3 linked regions of the Coturnix japonica genome follow. The protein of the gene in region 1 interacts with the protein of each later gene in a pairwise test. Links are inferred from orthologs where the notes say so. Each region holds a gene or a part of one and is shown in the gene's direction. Other genes may lie near its edges.

The links. The genes of interacting proteins can lie anywhere in the genome.
Region 2: the proteins of SDCBP2 (region 1) and ZCCHC10 interact in binary tests that used the Homo sapiens proteins (3 or more experiments, as listed by UniProt). The two-hybrid records come from large-scale screens. The link is inferred for Coturnix japonica from reciprocal best matches to the Homo sapiens genes SDCBP2 and ZCCHC10.
Region 3: the proteins of SDCBP2 (region 1) and PTMS interact in a two-hybrid assay, tested with the Homo sapiens proteins (2 studies listed by BioGRID and IntAct). The two-hybrid records come from large-scale screens. The link is inferred for Coturnix japonica from reciprocal best matches to the Homo sapiens genes SDCBP2 and PTMS.

The regions. Positions count from the first base shown.
Region 1 is NC_029535.1:9,197,305-9,201,348, reverse strand, and holds SDCBP2 (syntenin-2), read left to right. Parts: upstream 1-1,244; 5' UTR 1,245-1,641; coding exon 1,642-1,695; intron 1,696-1,799; coding exon 1,800-1,893; intron 1,894-2,054; coding exon 2,055-2,167; intron 2,168-2,286; coding exon 2,287-2,448; intron 2,449-2,609; coding exon 2,610-2,785; intron 2,786-2,858; coding exon 2,859-3,030; intron 3,031-3,235; coding exon 3,236-3,327; intron 3,328-3,429; coding exon 3,430-3,484; 3' UTR 3,485-3,939; downstream 3,940-4,044.
Region 2 is NC_029528.1:1,095,457-1,099,519, forward strand, and holds the start of ZCCHC10 (zinc finger CCHC domain-containing protein 10), read left to right. Parts: upstream 1-1,263; 5' UTR 1,264-1,354; coding exon 1,355-1,431; intron 1,432-3,253; coding exon 3,254-3,415; intron 3,416-4,063.
Region 3 is NC_029516.1:69,482,623-69,486,836, forward strand, and holds the start of PTMS (parathymosin), read left to right. Parts: upstream 1-1,414; 5' UTR 1,415-1,608; coding exon 1,609-1,656; intron 1,657-2,198; coding exon 2,199-2,270; intron 2,271-2,963; coding exon 2,964-3,045; intron 3,046-3,210; coding exon 3,211-3,275; intron 3,276-3,803; coding exon 3,804-3,854; 3' UTR 3,855-4,214.

The DNA.
Region 1 (4,044 bases):
ACGTGTGCGTGAGCAGGGTCTGTGTGCTCATGGCAGCATCTGTGTGCAGGTGTAGGGCATGCAGTGTGTGTGTGCATGGCTGCACGTGCTGTTTGCAGTGGGCAGCAAAGTCCCAGTGCTGTCTGTGTTCTCTCTGTGCTTGAGCCCACCCAACTCCTTACCCATGAGGCTGGTGCAGCCCCGCTGCTATGGGTGCCATCCTTCCAGGGCAGACCAGGTGCTCGCTCTCAGCTGTGCTTATCATCTGTCTGCTGCTCCCATTGCATTCCAGGGCAGCTGGGCACTGCAGGCTAAAAATAACACTGGTAAAATAGATTGCTTCCTGCTGGCACACAGGGCTGAGCCATGCCCTGCATCAGGGCTGGCCTTGTGCCACATGCACCCACAGAACCAGCATGTGTGGGGACACAGGGTCTGATGGCATCACACAGGTTGGGATGTGTGGCTCAGTGCTGGGCTGACACCCTTCACCTGCAGCCCTGACTCAGTTTTCCCACGGGGCCATCACGAATGGATGCGGGATGTGGCAACGTCAGCCCCACGCAGAGAGGTGTCACGGAGGACAGACACCCACATGGGGCTGAGGGCACCCGCTGTGCCCACCCTGCGCTGGGCAGGGGGCTGTGGTGGCCCCTGGTTGGGGCTGCAGTGACACTGAGCACTGTGATGGTGGCACCTGGGGGTTGTGTGGATGGGAAGGGTGGAGGCCACCCTGGAGATCCATGGCCTCATCCCTGTGGCTCACAGGATGCTCAGAGCCATGGAAATCAGTCCCTATCCCTGTTTGTGTTCCCATCCATGTCCCTATCTCTATTACTGACCCCATCCATGCCCCCATCCCCACTGCTGTGTGCTCCTCCCCGGGGCCAGCCCAGCTGCTTTGCCTTCACCTTCCTCTTCCTCCCCCATGCTCCACCTGGCACAGGGAGGTGATTGTCAGCTGAGGCCACTGGGCCCCTCCCTGGGGATGGGCGCTGCTATAAAAGCACAGGGCCAAGTGAAGGGCAGCGCATAGGAGCTGGAAATCTCTGCAGGTGAGTCTGGAGGGAGCTGGGCTGGGGGGTGAGACTGGGTTTGTGGGATCATCCCCCCCACCTCAGGATGCTGCTACCAGGCAGGATCCTTCCTGGCTCTAGTGGTGCTTGGAGCAGAGGCTGGAGGTGGGCGTTGATGTTTGAGTGATGCTTTTTGAGGCACAGAGCCATGCAGGTATGGGGTGGAGGGGGCTGGCAGGGCCTAAGGGCAGCAGGAAGCAGCGACAGAGAGGTTTTGCCTATGGGGACATTTGCCCATCACCCATGGGGACATCCCCCAGATGAGTTTGGGGAAGCTAGAAGAGCCTCCATGGGTGCCTGAGGTAGCCGTCACATCACACCTGGAGCAGGGCAGCTGCTGGGATGCTCGTGCTTATGCTCGTGCCCAGCACGTGCCCCAGCTCCTGGGAAGTGATGGAGGTGGTGGCCTCGGTGACACAGCCCTGAGTCACGTCCCAGGCTGCAGGTGATGCCTGGGACACAGAGCCAGGATTACAGCAAGCCCAGCCCTGTGGGTCCCTGAGGGGTGTTTGGGGCACAGCACCCTGCCTTAAAAAGCCCTGACCCTGCCCTCATCCCATCTTCATCCCATCCCTCAGCAACAGCGATGGCAACGCTCTACCCTTCGCTGGAGGACATGAAGGGCCACCAGGTCCTGCAGGTCAGTGTCTGCTCATCAGCGCTATGGGGGCGATCAGACCCATTGGGTGCCCATGGTGATCCCAAGGCAGGGGCTGTACCTCAAACAAACCCCATCTCCCCCAGGCTCAGGCGGCTGCTGGGATCAGCACCCCTGCCACCACGGTGCTCACCGAGAAGCCGAAGCTCCCGGAGAAGCCAAAGGTCACCTCCAGCACCGGTAATGTGGGGTGTGGTGCCGAGGGGCTGTTTGGGGTGGGGATGTGGGGGTGTCCACATGGTGGGGGCTCAGCTGAGGCCCCCAGCAGCTCAGTGCATGGGTAGGGGGTGGGGTGTGGGGGTTTCTCGGCTCATCCCATGGGTCTCTCTCTGTATCTGTAGTGCCCTCAGCACCACCTGCACTGTACCCCAACCTGGCTGAGCTGGAGGATTACATGGGGCTGGCGCTCTCCAGCGAAGAGATCCAGAAAAACCTCTTCCCAGAAAGCAGCACTGTAGGTTGAGGGCTGGGGGACCCCTCCCATAACCGCATCCTGCCTGGGGAAGGGACTCATTGTCCCTTGAGGGCTGATGTGTGACCCTATGTCCCTGCTGATCCCTGGCTCCATTACAGGCGCTGACCCCCATCGGACCCCAGCCGGGGCAGCTGGTTGCCCCACTGAGTGGGAACAGTGCGGGGCTGCGGCGGGCAGAGATCAAACCAGGTGTGCGGGAGATCCACCTCTGCAAGGATGAGCGGGGAAAGACGGGGCTGCAGCTGAAGAATGTCGACCAGGTGAGGGCTGGGCTGGTGGGAGGCAGGGCGAGGTGTGCCACTGCATGGCCCATATTGCATGGCCCATATTGCATGGCCCATATTGCATGGCCCATATTGCATGGCACATAGTGCATGGCACATAGTGCATGGCACAAAGCTCAGCCTCGCTGTGTCCCCAGGGGATCTTCGTGCAGCTGGTGAAGTCCAACTCTCCGGCGGCGCTGGTGGGGCTGCGCTTTGGTGACCAGATCCTGCAGATTGATGGCAAGAATTGTGCAGGCTGGAGCAGTGACAAGGCACAGCGGGCACTGAAGAAGGCGTCCCCGGAGAAGATCGTCATGGTGGTGAGGGACAGGTGAGCGGTGCTGGGTGGGTGCTGTGCAGTGCTGCTGTGTGTGGGGCTGGCTCTGACCCCGCTGTCCCCATAGGCCATTCCAGCGCACTGTCACTGTGCATAAGGACAGCACTGGGCACGTGGGTGTCGTGGTGAAGAAGGGGAAGATCGTGTCTCTGGCCAAGGACAGCTCTGCTGCCCGCAATGGGCTCCTGACACACCACTACATCTGTGAGGTCAATGGTCAGAACGTCATCGGCATGAAGGTATGGGCACAGTTGTGTCACCTGCTCCTGTCCCCATGGCACAACTGAGGGCAGCCCTGCAGTTGGCACAGGGTTTTTGGGTGCAGACTGTGGACTTGGAGCCATGTGGGTACGGCTGCTTTGGGAGGTGCAGGGAACCCCAAGTCGCCCTGGATGCAAAGTGGGGCTGTGTCACAGCGTTTCATGTTTACCCCTCCTTCCACAGGATAAGCAGCTGATGGAGGTGCTGGCGGGAGCAGGGAACGTCATCACTCTGACCATCATCCCCGCTGTCATCTATGAGCACATGGTGAAACGGTGAGATCCGTGCTCCCCCTATTCCCTGTCTCCTATCAACAACCCCCCATAGTGCCCCCAGGGGACCCTGGGGCTCCCCCTGACCCCTTTCCCCACGTGCAGGTTGTCACCAGGACAGATGAAGTCGTCCATGGACCACTCCATCCCCGACCTCTGATGTCCTCACTGCTGTTCCAGCACCCAGGGGCACATGTTGGTGCAGCCTCCCCACAGCCGAGCCTGGAAGAGGTGAGGGGACTCAAAGGAAATGCTGGAGGTTCCCCTTCAGCCCCATAAAAAGAACCCACGGGAGCTACTGGTGCAGCACCATCCCATGTCACCCAGCTCTCAGCACATGGACCAGGGTTGGGGAACGTGCCCCTGCCCCCAGTGCCTCTCCTTGTCCCCATGTCCCCCCCATACCCTCCATATCCACCCCAGGGCAGATGCCCAAGGCCGTCTCCAGCGAAGCAGACACAGACCCAGCGACGTTTATTACATCCACTGCAGTACAGGACAGCGGAAACGAGAGAAGGGGCTTAGGAAGGGGAGGAGGTTTACATCTCTGTTGGGTTTTTTCTTTTTTTCCACTTCTGTATTTAAAAAATATATAATATAGCTTTGTCTTTCAAATATAACGTTACATTTATTTCTTGGCTAAGCTTTGGATAGTCGGACAGACGCGTACACGGATCCACAAATACATTGCACGAGAGGTTAGAGCCCAGGGCTGCTCCC
Region 2 (4,063 bases), on another chromosome or scaffold:
ATCCACAGCACAGTGCCAGGAGCAGCCCATGTTGTTAAGCAGAGAGCAGATAGTGCTATTAGTGTGCAATACACTCCAAGATTTTAAGTGATAGTGAAATAAAAAACGACTGGGCATTTATTATAAAGCATGGATTATTAAAAATAGCTCAGTCCTAAAATAGGAAATGCTTCTGTCAGACTTTCTCCATTAAAAGTGAGATGCCAGACACGAAGGTTCCAGTACTGAGTCCAAACTCTACCACATTCATAATGTACCAGAGATAATACCGACATTGTAGCCACTACTAACCTACTAAGAATCCATAAGATCTCATGCACTCAGATACATGTAGAAGTATAGTGGAATATCTGCTTATTGTCCACTAGTTGCCTCTGTGACGGGGCATTTCAGAGTAATACTGAGAACAGCTGGATAGAAAGTACTGCCAGCAGGATTAATACATAGCCAGCATTAAAAAGTGTATTTTCTTGAGGTTTTTGTAATGAGATTTAAGATATTTTAAATGAGATAGCAATGGCTTTTGATACGGCAAACAGATGAAGCCACACTGCTTTCCTGTGCTCAGTGTGAGGGCAACTGTACTGGTGCCAGCAGCAGCGCTGCCTGTGCTGTCATTAGGCTGCTGCCTCCTTCTGTCCTTTGACCTCTCCTGCCCCACAGCCTGCGAGGTGATGGAGGGCTGAGAACACGAGGAGCTGCTGGCATCCATGGGGATCTTCGGGTCTCGGGCTTAGTGACATGGAGGAATGGATTTGCCTTTGGATTCCTGTGTTTATCTGAACTGTGTCTCCTCACGATCCAGCACAGAACGCGTTGGGTCCCTCAGTGCCTGCAAAGCTGGTGATGGTCCGTGGGTTACTGAGCACAATGTACCTGTAGCAGAAACGAGCCTTTCAGCTACTGAGGAGTTATACCTTACTGATAGTGTGGGGCAAATAAAGCATTAAAGCTAACAGGGCAGTGGATGGCTGCAGCACTGGAGGAGTGCTTCCTGACTGGAATCCGGCCCTTCCCAGCGCTTCTTTGTAGCGTTCGAAGAGACATCCTGCCCTCCGTGCTGCTGTGAGGCTGCAGAGCTGGTTGCGTTAGTTTATTCACTTCGACGAGTTAAAGCGAAGCTCCTCGAACGCGCCGTCCCGCTCCGCACCCGCCGCCTCCAACGGCCGCACCAACGTCCCGCGCCCATCGCCGCCATAGCAACGGCGGAGCAGAAGAGACGGGCCGCGTAGCGCGCCTCCGTGCTGCAGGGCGCCCCTGTGCTCTGTGGAGGACTTCCTTCCTTCCTTCCTTCCTTCCTTCCTTCCTCTCCGTGCGGCCGCTCCTCCCCCTGGTTGTGCAGCATTAGCCCGGCATGCAGCGCGGCGCGCCTCACTTCCCGGCCGCGAAGATGGCGACTCCCATGCACCGCCTCATCGCTCGGAGACAGGCGTGAGTGCGGCGGGACGGGACGGGACGGGACGGGACGGGGCGGGGGAACGGCTGGGCCGAGGGAACCGAGCGAGCGGGAGGAGGGCGGCCAAGGACGGGTGTCCGCGCCTGGTGGGGCGGCGGTCTGTGAGGAGAGCGGCTGTGGCGATGTTGCAGCCGGGGGAGGTTGTTCTGCACTGGTAAATGATGCTGCTTCCAGGCAGTTCTCAGACCTGAAGGGTCCAGTTGCCAACCCCTGCTCTGCACCCCCATCCCTTTGTCACTGTGTACCGTAACTTATCTCCTGTTTTCCACAAGAAAGTAACTGGGAATTTCAAAGCAATTTTGCAGTACTGCTCTTTTAAGTTGTAAGAAATCATTCCTTGATTTTAACACTTCTGAAGTCTTCATATGCTTATACTGATTTATACTGACTCGTATATCTGCCTATCTTTGCTTTTAGGCAGTGCTCGTCGATCTGTGTTAAATGATTACCCTGATCTCATGCTTTTCATTAACACTTGCACGTGTTGGTGTTGAGCTGGTATTTATAGCCTTGTAGCTGCTGGGCTCTTTTGATCTGTTTCCTGGTAATTACATTTCTTTTAGGGCTTGATCTTATTTTAGCTTGCATAGGATTCTCTGCCCTAGTCGTGTGAGCCTTATGAAAGCCCTGGAAATAAGGAGATGTGTTACAGTTGCTTTGAACTTCTCTTCCCGTGTAGACAGGTCTGGGCTGGCTAGTTACACCATCTCTGTTGGTGGAACAGACAGGGATTCCTCGTTCCGCTTATGTGTGACTGTGGTGGCAGAGCCAGAAGTCCCAGGCAAGACAAAGCTGACCATTCTGCAGGCCTTGTTTTGGGTGTCCTGGCCTTGAAAAACAAGTAATTTAGTGTTGAAAACATGATACAAGAGCAGAAATAAGTTAGAGCAGTTCTCATGAAGTTCACTGGCTCTAGAAGTAATTTATGATATGGCCTTGAGTGAGTCACTTGAGTGCTCTGTGAGCCTCCTTATTTGTAAAGTAGGAGTGTATCTGTGAGGAGATACAAAAGCAGCCGTTCTTATAAATAAACAGCTTCAGAATCATGGAGCAAGTGCTAAAGACTGAATATGTAATTTTTTCTCAGTTTTCTGCTAAAAGTGATGAAATTTAAGTTTAGAGATTGAAATGCAAGTGTAAAACGCTCACTTATAGTTCTGATGTTTCATTCCGGTATAGTTCGGGTTGATTTATGCTGCAGAAATTGAACAGGAATCCGATCACTGTTACAATAAACCTTCTGCCAGGCTTAATAGATCTTAGGGCAATTCAGATAAGCTGCAGCTGGGAGCAGCTGTTTTGCTTGCTCACATCCTGGGTGCTTTGAGTGAATTTGGAAGTGTGTGACACTCGGGTGATAATTACAAGGGTGTGAAACTGAAGAGTGCAGGCTGGGCTTCCAGAAGTGTGGACAGGTGAGAAAAGAAATTTGGGTGCAGTTGATCACTGTACTGACAGCCATTGTCATAGTTCAGCATCTTCTGCTTTAGCCAGAACAGGCTTAAGCTGAAGCTCTGGAACAGAGGAAAAGCATCTTTCTTTTTCCCTAAATAGTTGGTGTGAGAATAGCTTGGTAACTGCAATAGCACGTTTGCCAAAGTTCTGTGTGTATTTGATGTTACTGTTCTTGTTCTGATTCCAGTTTTATAAGCTAAAGCACTCGTGGACATCAGTCTGCTTTAAACATAATGATGTGTATTGTGTAGACTCTGTATGCTAAAGAAAATTCATATTCTTTCACTAGGTAGAACAGACAGACATGGCATCGGTCACTTAAGCAATTCTGCATTTTTATAGGGAGGCAAACAAGCAGCACGTCAGATGTCAGAAATGTTTAGAGTTTGGACATTGGACGTACGAATGCAAAGGGAAGAGAAAATACCTGCACAGACCTTCAAGGACAGCTCAATTAGCAAAAATTCTCAAAGAAAAAGAAAAGCAACTACTGCTGCAACAAAGGTAAGACTGGCAGAATGTTCAGCTTATTGATGAAGAGGTAATGTGGTGTGAGAGCAGGAAAGGTGGTGCCCAAGATTGTTTTCTGTTGTTGTTTCTTCTCTGTGATACTTGTTCAGTTTTAAAACCATTGTGTGAGCTGGGTGGGGTACATACATCAGATTCCACAGATGCATCTGAAGCAAAAAATAAAGCACGCTAAGCTGACGTTAAAATAGTTGGAGACATTTTGTAGTGAAATGCTGATTCCTGAGTAGCTCAATTTCATATGTTCATATCCTACTAGGTTTGCATGGGGCTAAATAGAAGCAGTTCTTTAACTTCTGCTTAGTTTTGTGTTAGACTGTACTTACAGGTGGTAAAGGTCCACTGTTAAGTACACAATGGTTCAAACAGAGCGTTAGATTATTGGGTGTTCTCAGCTTTGTGTTCCTCCCACTAAGTTGGGTATTGACCCTGAGAACCTGAAAGCACGCCTCTTGTAGCTGGATGTTTTGACCATAGGTCATCAGTGCTACCAGGATGTGAGTTATGGAAGAGCTCTGTTATCTTGCTATGAAGAGCATAGGTGCTGACCTCTGTCAGAGTGATCTGATTTGACCTCATTGGCTGTTTCAACTGGAACAGGAACATAAATGGGAGTACTGAAAC
Region 3 (4,214 bases), on another chromosome or scaffold:
TGGATGCCCCGTCCTTGGAGGTGTTCAAGACCAGGTTGGACGGGGCCCTGGGCAGCCTGATCTAGTAAAGGTGTATGTTTGGTGGCCCTGCCAGGCAGGGGGGTTGGAACTACATGATCCTTGAAGTCCCTTCCAACCCGGGTCATTCTGTGATACTGTGAGCCCTGAGAACTGGAGCACCCACAGGGGGAAGGAAGAGGTCACAGACCGAACCCAATGGCCCCTTTCACAGGTGGTTGGAAACATACTTTCCTCTCATAAACAGCCGCTTGTGTATTTGCATCTGAGGGCGTTGCCTGTGTCAACACGACTCTTTGGGCAACAGTATCATCACCAAATATAGTCTTTGCTTTTTCTCCTCAAGGACCTCGCGTTGAGGCCTGCTGGTGTATTAGCACGGATAGGTCTATGGTACAGCATGTGATGGAGCAGCTTTGCGTGCGCAGCAGTTGAGGAAAGATAAAGCCAGAAATGCTGGATTGGTGCACAGCACAGCACAGCAGTGAGTCACACATCTCTACCAAGGAGCAGCACACCATGACAACATCCACCAACTTCTTTTTTCCTCCTGTTTTTGAGCTCAGCTCCAGAAATTCCCTCTCTCTGCTCTCAGCACAGCGTTACCCACACTGCCCGGCAGGTGGCGCTGTTGCACGGCTCCCGATACCCGCCATCACCGCGCCGTGCGGATGGCGGCATCGCCGTCGTCGCGCCGCGCCCGTATCCCCACGTGCCCTCCCCTCTTCTTACAGCGCCCCCTCCCCCGCGCGGAGCCTCCCCCCGAGAACCAATAGGAAGCCTGTTGCCAGGCAAACCTCTCATTTGAATGGCCCAATCGCACGGCCGCCCTCTGTCCCTCCTTATATGGGGAAGCGGGACTCGCCGCCCGCCCCTCCCCCCCCGCTTTGCGCGCGGCGCTGCGCCCGGCCCCGCCCCCAGCCCGCACAGCGCGGGAAAAACAGCCTCCCTCCTTCCCTCCCGCCCCACCCCCACCGTGCGTTGGGGCCCCGTGGCGGCGGGACGCGGCGGGGAGGAGCCGGGGCTGGCAGCGCTTCCAGGGGGAGGGCGGCAGCACAGTGGAAAATTCCAGGCGGGAGCGGCACGAGCCGGGCCGTGCCCACGCTGCCCGACAGACGCTGCCCCGCCGTGCTGCCCCGTGCTGGGGCGGCTCCTCCCTCGCACCTCTGGGCTCTGTTAGTGCGGCCCGGCCCTCAGGCACCGCCGCGCCGTCCCCCCACCGTCCGCCCCGTGTCCGGCCGTGTGCCCGCAGCCAGGCGGACTGGCCGCGCTCCGCGCCGCCCGCACATTGTTCTCGGGGCCCGCTCCGCCGACGGCCGCCCTCCGCCTCCCTCCCTCCCTCCCTCCCTCCTCCGCCCTCTCCCCTCCCTTCGCCAGGTCCCTCCTTCCCTCGTCACCCGGCGCGGTATAAATCCCCTCCGCCGCCGTATCCCCCATCGCGGCGGACCCAGGCACTTTGGCCCCGGGGCGGGATCCGTGCGGCCGGACCGCTGGGACTCGGAGCTCCCGCCTCGTGCCGACCTTCCCTCCGCCCCCCCCTTCTCTCTCCTCCTCGGGGTGTCCCCGCCGCCCCGCGCTGCCCGTGCCACGATGTCGGAGAAACGCGTCGAGGAGGCTCCGGCGGAGCTGAGCGCCAAGGTGAGCCCGGCACCGGCCGCCCCCTCCCACGGCCCCGACCGCCCGGCCGCCAGGGGGGCGCGCGGCCCCTCCGCCAATGGGCAGCGGGGGCGGGGGGCGCAGGGGCCCGCGCGCGGGATCCCGCTCGGCGGGGTGGCGGGAAGGGGGGGGCGGAGCGGCGCGGGGGCTCCGCTGTGCTCTAGGGGCGGCTCCGCTGTGCTCTAGGGGCGGCTCAAAAAGCGGCCAGCCGACCGAACCGGAGCACAAAGGGGGCAGCGGGACGGACGGAGCCGCGCCGACAACCTGCCGCCCCGCAACGGCGGGAGGAGGCCGGGGGCGGGAGGCTCGGCGCTAGAGGGCCGCCCCCTGGACCGGAGCCGCCCTGCCCGGCCCCGAGGCGTGCCTCCAGCCGGGTTGCTCTGCCTGATGGCGAGAGACGGGCTGCCCGCCGTGTGCCGTCCGCCCCTCCTGTCCCGAGCCCTCTTTGTCTCACACCGCTCCGTTTCTGGCCGCTGAGCGCTGCCATGTTTTGTTGTGTTTTTTTTTCCCCATCTTGCGTATAGGAAATGAAGGAGAAGAAGGAGAAACTAGAGGAGAAAGCGGTCCACAAAGAAAAGAAGAAGGAGATAGTAGAGGTGAGGTGTGGAGTGAGCCCTTCGAAGGCTTCGGGAAGGGTCGTCGGCTCAAGTCGCTGCGGGAAGTGAGAGTGAAGGGAGGCAGAGGAAGAGAAGTGAGCAGCGAGGCTTCGGAGGGAGGGTGGCAGATGGACGAGACTAAGGGTAATAGTAGAGAACGAGGCTTGAACTCGGTGTAGTGAGTGCTATGAGCGGGAGGATCAAAGAGGAGATCGGAGACAGGGCAGATGGAAGTCAGGAGGTGGCAGCAAGGGGATGCGGCGCTGCATCTCCTCGGGTATCCCCAGTGCTTGAGGAGCTCGGGCTGAGGGAGCCGCAAGGAGATGCACAGATTGGTCTGGAGTAGATGGACACCAGCTGTTGTTAGCTTGTAACCAGAAAGATGTTTCTGTTGTTGGAATTAGGTGGCAGCAGCGTGTGGTGATACGAATTCATGCATGTCACAGGTTCACGGCGGTGAGGAGGGAACAGGGCGTTTGGTTGTGTCAAGGAGGCAAGAGGGGAGGAGGGTTTGGCAGCGTGGGACAGCTGATGTGGGAGGGACAGGGGCCGAGTAGCAGTGCAGAGATCGCTTGCTTGGTGTGTGCTTGCAGCTGGAGGCTGGGGTGGCAGGGATGTTCTCGCTCTTGCAGCAAAGAGCATGTGGGGACATCATCCTGACAATAAGTTTCTGCTCTGATTTGTTTTGCTTAGGATGAGGAGAATGGAGCTGAAGAGGATGAGGAAGAGAATCCTGAGGATGTGGATGAAGAAGAAGGTGGTGATGAGGATGATGGTGGGTATGATTAGTATAGGAAGAATGGGGGGTTTGCAGGAAGGGCAGATTTGGGGGAAATAAACAATAAGGGGAAGTTCCTTCTCCGTGCTCTTTGACTGTGAGATTTATTTCCTTAAGTGCTACTTTAATTAACTTGTAATTTCTGCTCTTGCTTGTGCTTAGAAGGAGATGAGAACGGGCAAGAGCAGGACGGCCATGCAGAAAAACGATCTGCAGAGGAGGAGGAGGTGAGTGGTGTGTGGGTGAGGGCAGTGAGAAGGAACAAGATGACCACACTGTGTGCAGATGAAGTCCATGAGGATGCTGCTGCTGCTGAGTTTCTTAGTTCATCTTTGCATCTCATTGCTGTTTCAGCAGCAGATGAGTAAACAAACCTGATGTGGCAAAGGAACCATAAAGCTTCATGGGTTTTTGGTGGGATCCGGGGCCAGCCAAAGTGCGGGGTGATGACCCTGCTTTAAAACATGTAATATCTGGGCTGCAGGCCAGGTCTCAGGGTCTGTGTGAAGTGGTGTAAGCCTGTGCTTGCTCTGCCCTCCTGAATGCAGCAGTGCAGATGCTGCTGCAAAAGAAACTGTCCGTGTCTTAACCATTGTCAACAAAGCAGTCATCAGACACTCAAAGTACTTCCAAGAGGAATGGATTTAGGGTGGCTAAGTGGATTTTGGCGTGGAGGAAAGAGCAGCAGTAAGAATTGGATATGCTGGTGCAGCGATTGCTGGTAACTTTATTTTCCTTCTCTTTGTCATACTCAGGATGAAGTGGATCCAAAGAGGCAGAAGACAGAAAATGGGTCCTCCGCTTGAGTCCTCCCCTCCCATTTCCTCTGTTCCGTCCATCTCTCCTCCTCCATTCCAGCCTGTGCTTGCACTGTCCATTAGCCTCTGGCTTCACACAATCTCAGATGAGGAAAGGTTAGAAAAGCTCTCAAACAGGGAATACAGCAGTTTCCTTCCCGTCCAAAGATCCAGCCCATCTGTGACGTTCCCCACCTGAAATTATCCCACCTCCCCACATCCTTCCAGCTGTGCCCCACATACAAATGAACCTCTCCCCTCAAGAATCTCATCATTTTCCATCATGGCCCAATGCGTAACCTTGCCAGGCCTATACGACTGGCTGTTCACACGGCAAGCACCTCTCATTCCTTTTCACTCACCCCTCCC